Linked DNA regions of Tribolium castaneum. The protein of the gene in region 2 purifies or fractionates together with the protein of the main gene of each other region. This does not show direct contact. Links are inferred from orthologs where the notes say so. Each region holds a gene or a part of one and is shown on either strand. Other genes may lie near its edges.

The links.
Region 1: the proteins of Wwox (region 2) and Wbp2 purify together in Homo sapiens (affinity purification with mass spectrometry; 3 studies listed by BioGRID and IntAct, with this or other methods). This does not show direct contact. The link is inferred for Tribolium castaneum from reciprocal best matches to the Homo sapiens genes WWOX and WBP2.
Region 3: the proteins of Wwox (region 2) and calnexin purify together in Homo sapiens (affinity purification with mass spectrometry; 3 studies listed by BioGRID and IntAct, with this or other methods). This does not show direct contact. The link is inferred for Tribolium castaneum from reciprocal best matches to the Homo sapiens genes WWOX and CANX.

The regions. Positions count from the first base shown.
Region 1 is NC_087399.1:3,370,658-3,374,637, reverse strand, and holds Wbp2 (WW domain-binding protein 2), read right to left. Parts: upstream 2,801-3,980; 5' UTR 2,680-2,800; coding exon 2,624-2,679; intron 2,576-2,623; coding exon 2,401-2,575; intron 2,353-2,400; coding exon 2,193-2,352; intron 931-2,192; coding exon 628-930; intron 565-627; coding exon 479-564; intron 426-478; coding exon 378-425; 3' UTR 104-377; downstream 1-103. Other genes in the region: cell cycle checkpoint protein RAD17, read right to left, coding at 2,879-2,969, 3,019-3,457, 3,506-3,813, 3,862-3,980. UniProt on the Homo sapiens protein: Acts as a transcriptional coactivator of estrogen and progesterone receptors (ESR1 and PGR) upon hormone activation. In presence of estrogen, binds to ESR1-responsive promoters. Synergizes with YAP1 to enhance PGR activity.
Region 2 is NC_087399.1:7,889,657-7,893,617, reverse strand, and holds the start of Wwox (WW domain-containing oxidoreductase), read right to left. Parts: upstream 2,801-3,961; 5' UTR 2,686-2,800; exon of another isoform or gene 2,635-2,685; 5' UTR 2,602-2,634; coding exon 1,826-2,601; intron 121-1,825; coding exon 1-120. Other genes in the region: glucose dehydrogenase [FAD, quinone], read right to left, coding at 2,950-3,300. UniProt on the Homo sapiens protein: Putative oxidoreductase. Acts as a tumor suppressor and plays a role in apoptosis. Required for normal bone development. May function synergistically with p53/TP53 to control genotoxic stress-induced cell death.
Region 3 is NC_087402.1:5,190,082-5,194,201, forward strand, and holds the start of calnexin, read right to left. Parts: upstream 2,801-4,120; 5' UTR 2,605-2,800; exon of another isoform or gene 2,600-2,604; intron 2,597-2,599; exon of another isoform or gene 2,502-2,596; intron 2,316-2,501; 5' UTR 2,297-2,315; coding exon 1,070-2,296; intron 387-1,069; coding exon 246-386; intron 17-245; coding exon 1-16. Other genes in the region: nSMase (putative neutral sphingomyelinase), read right to left, coding at 2,985-3,776, 3,825-4,008, 4,055-4,120. UniProt on the Homo sapiens protein: Calcium-binding protein that interacts with newly synthesized monoglucosylated glycoproteins in the endoplasmic reticulum. It may act in assisting protein assembly and/or in the retention within the ER of unassembled protein subunits.

The DNA.
Region 1 (3,980 bases), about 4.5 Mb from region 2:
GGCGATCAGGTAAAATCTCCCCTTTGACTTCTCGTTTCCTTTTTTCAAATTCATATTTTGGGACTTATTGTGGGATTGTAGCACTGGCAGAAAAACAAGTGCGTGCACATTTGCACATAAAATATTTATTTGCATTATACAGATCTATCTACACGTTATAAGAATAATTATATTACAATAATCTCAACTATACAAAATTTCCAAGCAAATAAGTGCCTCAAACTATTGCAAAGCCTTGCCGTAAAAAACGCATGCATATTTCGTGGACCTATCAATGGAATGATGCAACAATTAAAAACCAACAAATAATACTTTTGCATAATTGGATAAAGACATTAGAAAGAATTGATACAAATTTTAAGTGTCACGTGACCCCATCACTGTTCCTTCTTATTGGTAGCTTGGCTGTAACTTGGGGGATTTTCCTAAAACAAAATAGTGTTTTTTTTTCTAACTGCGATTGGTCTCCCTGTCTTACGTAATAAGCCGGCGGCGGCACGAACGCCATCTGTGGCCGATTGGGATCATAGTAGGCCGATTGTGCGGCCTCGGCTGCCTTCGCATCTTAAATAAAACAAAATTTCGTAAAACAATATTTATTTGGCAGTTAGCGTCCTTGATAATTACCTGCAGGTGAGGCAAATCCGGCTGCGCCCCCTTGCGGCGGATACCCACCTTGGGGTGGGTAACCCCCTTGCGGGGGCGGATACCCTCCCGGTTGGTAGGCGGGGTTTAAGCCGGGATACGGGGGCGGAGCTTGTGTCATGTAAACGCCGTCGGTTGGCGGATTATCGGGGAATTGGTGACGGGGCGGCACCCAGCCGTAGTAACCCTCCGGCGGGGGGGCGTAGGCCGGGGGCGGAGCCGCATACCATTCGGTGTTGGGGGGGACGTACGGGGGAGGGGCGTCGTTGTTCATTCCTCGCGTCGCTAGAGAGAGCCACATTTGTGATCAATACTCGGGTAATTACACGTAATTACCCGAAATTAACCGTAATTACAATCATGGCCGACGAGAATATTCTCGAGTGTTTCGAACGTGAAAAATCAGTGAAAATTCCGACACACGTCAAGAATTTGCTATTATTCGCCGGTTTCGACAACAAAACCTCGCTGTCGAAATTCGAGAGTGAAGACATCGACGAATTGGTGAAAATCGGGCGGGAAATCATCCCACGTGTCATCGATCGCGTCCTCCATGAAAAATACTTGGGGATTTTCGCGACTGAACCGCAACTGTTTACGATATTTTCCGGTCATCGGAAAATCCTCCTCGAAATGGCACAATTTTATCGCAGCTTTTCATGGAAAAAACGTCACACGGGGGACACGTGTGAAGCACCGACGAAACGTCAAAAAACAGACGAACAACGCGATTTCGAAAGCGAAAAACAAAACATTCTAGCGCTCATTTCTAATTGGATAATAAACTTTTGCTCACGCAATCTGACCAATGAGGAGTCGGCTTACGTGACACGAGAAATGTCTAAAATGCGGGCCGAAATTTCAAGCGAAGATTCAAATCAGTGTTACATCACGTGCTGTATTTGTCTCAAAGACGTGAAAATTTTCAGAAATCAGAACGGATTCTGGATCATGTCCAACATTCACAAACACTTCAAGACGCACATGAGTACGATTTCTAACAAGAAATTCAGCAAAAATATCAGCATTTCCAGCACGATTGCGAACCAGGAGGCGGATTCACCAGAAATTAGAGAAATTAAGGTGGAAAACGACTCCGAATAATAAAATAATAATAATTCCTCACCTATTGTACCTATTTTTGTTAATTAAATGAAACTGAATAAAAAAATAACAGTGTAACACTTGTGTTTTCGCCCTGATTCGAAACGAAACTAGCCTTAAAACATTTTACCGGTAGTTTCACCTGTTACACCACCTAAATCGGCTAATTGAAACAATTTAACTCAATTATAATTAAATTTGCAATTTTTATTAAATAGTTGAGTATCGTTTCTATTTCCAGTTTGGTGTTTTTTTTGTTTGATTGAAATTCCTACAACTGGCACCACAAAATGCCAAGGTCACTCGATTGAAACGAAAAAAAACAATAACGTTGCTTAGCAACGCAACGGTCACGTGATGTTTTTATCATCGCCTACTTATTTATTGGGAGATTAAATTAAAGAAAAAGTTTAAATTTCGTTGCAAAATGTTGCACAACTCACCCAAATATGCGGCTTTGAGCATCGCCTGGCCAAAGTCGATGGCGCCCCCACGCTTGAAAGTGAATTTGAACTTGGCCTCGCCAATCCAGTTGCCGTTGGGCTGCGCCCTGACTTTGCCCTTGATGTAGTTGGCGCCAAAGACGGGTTGCTCGATCTCGACCTACAGCCCCCTTGTTACAAATGATGAGTGAAAGGGGGGCGAACGTACCTCACTCAGTGTTACAAACGGGAAACTGAAACTTTGCATGGGGTCGCTGCCGCTCTTGTTGTTGAAGACAAGTCGGTGGGTGGTTAGGTAGAAGCGGCCGGTTTTGGTGCCTTTGAATGTGGGGTCCCCCTGACCCGACCATTCGATGCTGACGTCGTCCGCGAACAGTAAAATCCTAACGATGCGTTAAAGGGGGCGAAACGTCTGGATAGAAGTTGCTTACCTCTCACCGGCGTGTATTAAAACACCGCCGTTTATATGAGCCGTGTTTAGAGACATTTCGCACGGTTTTGGTACTCACACAATGAAATTATTTGTTTTTCTAGAAAAATTTTCGATAACTCCCCGATTTTGACAAGTGACATTTGACGTGACGTTTGAAATGTCATCTGCCAGGCGAGAGAGAGAAAAGATAGGGGTAAAAACAAGTTAGAGAGAGAAAAAGACAATACTAAGGCGCCAAATTCAAATTTATTAATCACGACAATACAAAGCCCGAATTAGTCTTATTGTTAATCACGTTGTAGTAATAAAGATCAGTCACTGAAACCTCGCGATTTGGCACAACCCTGCAAACAAACCCATCAAAAAACGCCAAAAAAAGACCACAAAACCCACTTTTGCACCTTGGTGGGGCCCTTGATTTGGTTCCATCGCGACACCTTATGCCCATTATGTACCATCAAGCCCAAGACGGAGACCCAAATCGCATAGTCGAGAATATCATGTCGATCGACCAACTTTTCTAGAAATGTTTGACCCAAACTCAAATTCTCACTGCCTTGACTGGCATCCACCAAATCCCCAAAATATTTCAAGTAATTTTCGAACAAAAACCCTGTGAAAAGCCCAGGCTGTGTTGTGAATTCGTTGACCAATCGGTCAAAATCGCACGCAAGTCGGCCATTTTCGCCCAACTTCGGGTTCAAAACGCGGCCAAGGGCGTGAAAAAGGCCCAAATTTTCGTCACGTGACATTATTTGAATCGAAGTGGACGAATCACGTTTGCGTTTGGTGCCCGATTTTTGGGTTTGGATCGTTGGCAGGTCTGAAGTTCCTGGAATTTTTTTGTGAGACAGTTGGGGGATGGGGGGTGATTTTTTACCTAAAAGGGCGGCAAAATAATACTGATTTAGGGCGCATTTCAAGTCGCCCATGGCTGTGGAAATGATGGCAGTGACTGTACTTTGAGACGGAATTTTAAATAAATCGGGATTCCCCTGCACGAGGTTTTGGGCCCTTTTCAGGGCACTCTTCATCAAAGTTGGGGCGCAACCGTTGAAACTAATCGTCGCAATTTTATACTTAACCCTTACGTCCTCACTAAATAATTTCTCGCTTAGATTAATTTTATTATCGAAAGTGTCCGTACACACGAAAATAACCGGGTAATTCCCCTTGTAGTAACACTCCCTGGAACCAACCAAATTAATTATTTGGACCAAAAACTAGCTCAATTACTCTAAAACTGGCCCAAACTCGTCACAATTCCTCAAAAACGTGTTTGGAAACTCCTCAACTAAAATCACTTTTTTGTTGCCTGTGGAAAATAAAGAATTCCATTTGGATTCGGTCAAAAA
Region 2 (3,961 bases):
CGGGCGAACAACACATTGCACAACTTGGAATTGTTGTAAGCCGTCATGTCCCAGTATTTGGCCGGGGTTTCCGGCGAAAGAGTTTGCACGGAAATGTTATCAGTCGTCAAGTTCGAAAATCTGGAAAAAGTTTGTTACAGTGGAACCCGCTTATCACGAACTTCCGGCTATAACGAACTATTTCTCAAGCACCGAAAATCTCTCCATAAGCTCAATGTTTTTTTAATGGGTTTTCAGCAATTACCTGAGTAATTCATTTATGTGTCAGTAAAATTTATGTAAGATTTTCAGTAAAATTCATTTATGCATCAAGTAATAATTAAATTACTAATGTGATTAGTCATATTAGTACATATCTACAGACTGATCCAGAAATACTGAGTCTGTTGGCAACACATTTGAAAGTATTTGTGCTCGTAATTTGCAACATTGCAACCGAATTCTATTTTTCTTGACAATTATTTGACGTACAACCCCACAAGAATGTTAAATTGTTTTTAAATGAAAGCGTACTGCATTGGTGTCCTTAAAAATTTAAGTCCAGTGTTGCCAACAGACTCAGTATTTCTGGATCAGTCTGTACTTATTCTACAATGAAGTTTATCTAACATTAAAAAATTATAAAAACAGCAATTTTAAACACAAATACAGAAAGTTTCTTATAAAATGATTTTTCTATTTTTCTTATGTGTTTTTTTCCTCTCTATAATTTTGTTAAATAGAATTAGATATTTTTTTTGTTATATTTTTTTATTTTTCTTCAATCACATTGTTTATTTTTATTTTTTGTTATTTCTCATTTATTGTCTGGGCCAATTGAGGTAAGAACAACTTGTAGAAAATTTAAATTTTGTTATCGTATTTTTTTTCTTGTTGTAACTAACTATATTGTAACCATTTTAGTGCCACAAATAAATTATTATAATTATTAAAGTATTATTATTATATCAAAACATAAACTACCATTTGACTTATCAGATTCTAAGATTACAAATTTTCTTGTAATATTTTTTTTTAATCTCGAAAAATGTTTCAAATTTTCTAAGCAATTACATATCATAAAAAGGTTATCAGAAATGCTATCTATACGTGTACAAGAATACATGGTGATCAATTTGAAAAAAATTAGTTATTGTGTTTTGGCACACTCTGTACATTATTTGCGTGTTTCAAGTAAAAGTCGACAATTTGCTAAAACTGCAAAGTATTCTGAATTTTTCTGTGTTGAAAAATATTCATTGGAGACTCCGTAGTAATTTTTCAAAAATTGATCTTTTTTATAAGATAAATTGAATAATTCCAAAACGAAAAGAAATACACCTATAATAATTTATATAAAGTTACATTATTTTTTGTGTAGAATCTAATTATGCAAAAATATTTCCATCTAAAAAAATTTAACTTTGGTTCACCACCCTGTATTAAAAAACATTTTTAGTTTGTGTAAAACTAAGGCAATATTTTAGATAATAAAAAAATTATAGACCAATTACACACCCCTGTGTCACCCTGTATTACTGCTTTCCAAATAATTCATGTTTTTTTACAATCAATAAAAAAATGTAGACAAATACATAAGCTCTTTAAAGGTGCAAACGTTTAAACTGCGAAATAATTTCAAAAACTTTTGAAGGGTTCCAAAAAAAAAGTCGTCCGAAGCTGCCCCACCTTACCCTACATATTAATGTATCGCAAAGGATTCATATTTTTTTACAAAACTTAGTTATTTCGTCTTATTTAATATTTTTTTAATTTAACGCTTATTTTGACGCATTATTTGAGTTCGTTATAACCGGACACCACTGGCAAGGTTGGCACACCTCACCTGTGAGACTCTGATGAGACCACAACAACTCTTGACCCTGTGACCAACAAAGGTCTCAACAAAAGTGTCAAATAGAAATGTCCTAAATGATTCACTTGAAACGTAGTCTCGAAACCATCCACTGTTTTACTAAAAGCAAGTCCAAAAACCCCCGCATTTAAAATCAGCATATCAATCTGTTTAAACATTGTTTTCACTTGGTTGGCAAAACTGTCCACACTGTGTAAATCCCCCAAATCGAGATAAATCGCCACACAATTCTCCCCCGCCGCCTCCTTCTCCTCCCTAACCTTCGCAATGGCTTCGGCAGCCCCCTCCAAGTCCCTGCATGCAAAAATCACACTGGCCCCATGTTTGGCCAAAGACCGCGCCGTCTCAAACCCAATCCCCGAGTTAGCCCCCGTCACCAGGGCAACTTTTCCATTCAAATCGCGGCCGTGTAACACCTGAAGGGCTGTACTTGACCCATCAAACCTCTGTCTGTAATCATTCGGATGGTCTTTCTCCTCAACTGCGAAAGCCAGTCTTGGGTCAGTGTAAGTGGTTCTACGGTTCTCGTGGTCCACGTAAATCACTTTTCCGCTCGTTTTGTCAATACAACGCTCCCAACCGAAGGGTAAATCCCCCGAGACTCGCTTTTTCTTCCCGGTTCGGGGGTGCGTCCATTGCGTGGCTTTGGTTAAATGATTTGCGTAGAAAACGCTACCGTCGACCGTCACGCGCTCCTCCCAGCCGGGGGGCAACTCGTCCTCGCTGTCGGACTCCGGGAGGTTCATTTTACGGGGGCTCCACTAACATAACCTCAAACACTAACCACGATTTCGAGCGGTCCGGTAGGACTACAGCAATTAAATACCCACAAGAACGTGTTAGTTAATAAAACTGCACCCTTAATGTTTTTGATGGTTTTTTGCTTAAAATCAAGCGAAAATAAACAATAAATTTTCTAGGGGATTTTGGTTTTTTTGGTTGGCGGTATGCGCGGGAATATTCAAATAAATCGCAAGAAATGGTCTTTTGAGGGGGACAAATAAAGTATCACGTCAATAGAAAATCGCTTTTATTTAATTACAGTCTTATACAATCAACAAACCCGTACTTTATGCACCAAAAACCGGTTCTAGTCACTTTCTTGCCCACTCTTGCTTGATCATGTCTGAAGCCTTCTCCCCAATCATCATTATCACAGCATTGGTATGTCCGGCCACCACATTGGGCATGATGGACCCATCGACCACCCTTAACCCTTTAATCCCATAAACTCTCAATCTCTCGTCGACCACAGCATCGGGATCGCTCGGGGGCCCCATTTTGCAGGTCCCAACCTGGTGCCCCAGAGTGGTGGCAACGTGCCGAACGGCACAAGCCCAATACTCGTCGCTACCAAATGGTACAGTTTCACACCCAGGAAATGGGGTCGTAATCATTGTAATGTTGTATTTTTGAAAATGTCGAGATTGCGTAATTGTAATCGCCTGAAAATTGTTTTAATTGTAGACAATTGCGACAATGTTCTGTGGGTCAAGAACAACACTAGTGTTCACCTTGTACTTGCATTATTGATGTGCAAAATAATTACGAAGCTGTGTCAACAAAACAAAGAAAAAATCAGGACGGACAAAAAGCGGCGTTGTATAATTGGCTGAAATTGATTGTTTTCAAAGAAAGTGAAAGTTTTGCGTAATCACAGCCACGAGATGTGTTCCAGTAACCTTTATAAGTGGCTATAACACTAGTTTATAAAAAAATTCTTTAATAAAGAGAAAATTAATACTGATTTTATTTTCTGTTTACTCACTAATGACTAAAATATACAGGACGATCCAGCTCATTTATACTATAGGACTCATTTTTTGAAAATATTTTTGATTATACAGAGAGTCCTAAAAAACGTTTTATGTCATAATAATAATTTTTAATGGCATGCTATTATTTTTTTGTGCTCAGTAGGTTGCCTTTCAAGCTTCTTACATGTCCCTAAAGTTTCTTTAAATCGCTTTAGGAATTACTGTTAAAAAAATAAAAAAATTAATTAATTAAAAATAGAAACAGTGCTTTTTTGATGACATTATTAGTACATACATCTTGACCTACATTTAACAAACTTATTAAGTTTGATGGTTATTTATCAAATAA
Region 3 (4,120 bases), on a different chromosome or scaffold from region 2:
TTTGAATTACGCTTTCCTATGTCAAAACAAAGAAAACTATAACTAGCAGTACGAAAATACCTCTTGAATGCAGAAGTAGAGGTACCATATGTAACAACAAACCGGTATGGCGCAATAAACGAAATATAAGAACCACGGTACAGGTTTATAGTTTAACTTTTTCATAAGACGACCCCACAGTGTCCTCTTATTTAGTAAAAAATCACAAATATAATAAAATTCATTTAAATTAAACAGATACTAACCGAATCCTTGGCGATCTTTTGCTTCTTTTTTTCAAAAGTGGCGTCTGCCCAATGGTTCGCAACGGTAATATCGTCGGTAATAATAATATTGTCGAAGAAAATGTCCTTTGACATTGACCATAACTCAAATCCAACAGCGGTCTGAAAAAAGTTATTTGTCCAAAGATAAATTAATCTTGAATGAATTGCAAAAATACAATTCTTTATTTAGGTTTACAAAACATTTTTATCACAATACGAACGCAAATTCGCCAAAATAAGCATAAAAACGATTGGGTGTGGCTAAGTATATATTACTTCCTTAGTTAGCATATCTCACATAGCAACTAAATCCTTTTGTAGTGACACAAACAATTCTTTTTTGCAACATGTTTTGTTGAAGGCAACAATGCAATAATCAAATACGCAGTTTCGGTAAAAATATGGAAATTAAACAACTACAATTCTGCCAAAAACCAAAGATAATAAAAAAAAATCGCAAAAATAAATGTGTCAATTTCAAGTTGGCTCAATTTTATCAAGAGGCAATTCTTTTACCATTTTCTCACTGTCCTAGGCACTCTAAAAAAATTGCTAACAAAATTAGAAGCTCAGAATTTGTTATTTTTGTACAAAGCATATCGAAATATACTTTTCACAAATTCTGGAAACTGGAGAGGAAACTAGAGCTGACAGCCAAATTTTGACTGCAGATTTGTAAACTATGTTCTAATAGTGTACAAAATCAACTGATAAATTTGAACAAGAAGAAAAAATAATGTAAACATATCGGCACCAATAATTACAGTTACATAAACAAGATAATTTTTTAACCATTTACTTACAACAGTCTGCATTTTAAAGGGATGCTTATCTTCGAAGAACTCGGGATTGGGGATCCTCCTGGGCCTCCACTTCCCCTTATAATTAGGATTATCGATAAGCGGCGCCCTCCACTTCCCCTTATAATCGGGATTATTGATAAGTGGGGGCTCCCAAGGCCCACACCCGACAGCATCCTTACAAGCGGGATTATCAATAAGCGGTGGTTCCCACTCCCCGTCCATTTCCGAATCCCAATCTTCTGGTTTCTTTGCATCAGGATCGAAAACATGCGACGGTTCATTATCCAGCCAACCTTCCGGTTTCACCGCTGATTCATCAACAATCTGAGCCGGCGCATCCTCATCCCAATCGTCAGGTTTCACGGCATCTGGGTCAGGGATTTTCTCCCTTTCATCCCAATCCTCAGGTTTCTTGTCATTAGGATCGTCAATTTCTTTCGGAGGATTCACTGCCGGGGTGAAATCCTCAAGCAAACTTCCCGAATTGACCACTTTGTTGTCGATTAGGATCTCGAAGGTGTTGTCAGGGTGCAGGACAAGGGTGAACAAGTGGGGGAGTTTGTCGGAGAAGACTTCCTCAATGCGGTCTTTGGGTTTTTTGCAATGCTTTTCCTCGACGCTCCCGTTGAGAGGGTTGCGGTGCTTGAAGATAAAGTGGAGCTTGTGGTCGTTACCGCACTTGTCGGGGCCGAACATGATCGAGTAGGGGGTTTTATCGTGGAAGTTGTTCAAGTTTTTACTGGCGGAGTCCTGGGTGAGCAGCTTCAAGTAGGCTCCGCCACATTCTTGGCCGTCTTGGAATATTACTTCATATTGCACGATTAATGGTTTAGTATCAAAAATAAACGGTTTTAGGAGAGAGGAGGCAATAGCAGCGTGTTTAGCCTTTGATTTAAGCACTAAACCTTTGTCGCCCACTAGACTGTCTTTTTGGGTTGGTTCAAGTTGCCATTCACCGTCGTATTTTGCGATGTCTTCGGAAATCCCTTCTTTCTTCGCTTGGGATTTTATCCAACGTTTCGCAAACTGGTCTGGATCGTCGAAATGCTCGGCGAAATAGACCTTTTTCGGGTCAAGGGGGCTCGGACTTTCGTAGGGGATATCAATGTGTGATTCTTCCGGTTCTACTTCCACAGTAGCCTCGTCAGAATCGTCCACTTCGTCACATTTTACCGCCGAAAATATCAACAATAACGTGATTACTGCCGGAACGAGACTTCTAAGCATTTTGTGATCATATATTGTCCTGCAAACCAAACCGGGCACTAATTATGTGTCGTGATTACAGGATGACGAAACGGAAGCAGTATTTACTAATATAAGTCAGGGACTAATCCAATTTAAAAAATTAACCTGAAAGGTTAGTGAACGCACTTCCCAATCGATTAGTTACGAAATTACGCCAAATATCGACAAAAACGCACTCTCTTACCCAACTATCGACACGCTATTACTACAAAATGCACAAAAAAGCCGACTTCACGATGAAATAATTAAAATTCTAGAGACCGACAAAATAAAATGACATACCTAACCTCAAAATCCGGAAGTAGTTTTACACAGCACTCTTACAACACTAGCTTCAGCACCACAGTCTTAACTCAAATTGGTGTTTACTTAGGCTGTATTTCATTTATTATCAGATTATTTTTATTGTAGTTCTTGAACACCACGTAATACACCGCATTTATGAAGAGAATAAACACAAATTCGCCGACCAATCAGCGTCAAACAGATGGCAAAGTTGCGCTCAGTTCAAAAATAGGCGGGGAAAAAAAGTACAAACAGTTAAAAAATGAAAACTTTATTCACCAGTGGTACAGAAACGATCACAGTCGTACAAACCAAATAAAAAATGAGCAACAGGTGTTGGTCTTTGATTTAAAATACTGAGCTTGTTTTGGCCCTGATATAATTACAAATCTTTGGCTTTTAATTTCCTCAAAGCTGTCTCCATTCCCAACTTGCCCGCAATCACAGCATGACGTTCGATTTTATTCCAGATAGTTGCCATCATCAAAGTGTAAAACATAAAAAGGGTGATTAAAATTTTCAAAATGTGGTAAATAAAATTCAGATTGTAGCCGAAAGGTAGGTCAGTTGCAAGTGTCGTAACCAGCAACACGATTAAAACGAACGTAAAAAACCAGTACAAATATTTATGGTTATTCAAGCCCCTGAGTGCGTCATCACAGATTTCTATGCTCTCTTCAAGGACAGTTTTCTTCATGTGTTGGTCGCTTTTCAGCGACCTTATCTCGCTCTTTGTGACGATTAAAGTCGCAGCGATTGCTTCATGGTCCGAGTAACTGTACGCACATCCGGGGATTTTGTGTGGTAACGGCAATGTGTAGCTTTTTAAATCGATTTGTAAACTTGAGCCTGGATGATACATGATATAGTCGATTCTTTTGCCAGGAATGTTTTTCTTGAGTAAGGCCACGGGTGTGTAACTATTAGTGAGGCTTTCATTTGTCGCCACACAATTCTGCACCGTTTCTCCAGCTTCACCAAACGCATCTACAAGTCCCGGAACACTCAACATTATCCTGTAGGCTAAATCTCCAGGTTCGGTATTTAAGTCCCCGGCCAGGACTACTAGGTCGGCGTCTCCAGACGTCATTTGGATAAATTGAGCGGTATCGAAAGATTGGAGCACTCTGTGAGCTTGGTATTCATCACAATTTCGGTCGTATTCTGCGTGCAACTAAAATTATTACTCTTTGTGTTGTTCATCAAGCAAAATAAATCTTACATGTGCAGAGTAGACGTTGACGGTGTAATTGTTCACCTTTAATTTACATAAACCCACGCCCTTTCCACCAAACCAGTCACCATGGTGGATTTTATGAATGTAACCATTTACTGGCCATTGGTGGAAAAAAACGTCCTCCATCGGGTGTCGCGATAAAATACAAACGCCAGAGCCCGTGACTCCGCTACAACTCACCTTTACGCTTGTTTCAACTGAATTTTTGAATTTACCTGTAAAAATAGTGAGAGTATGGTAACACCCCTGAGACTTTGTTTCTGATTAACTGGTAGTCAGAG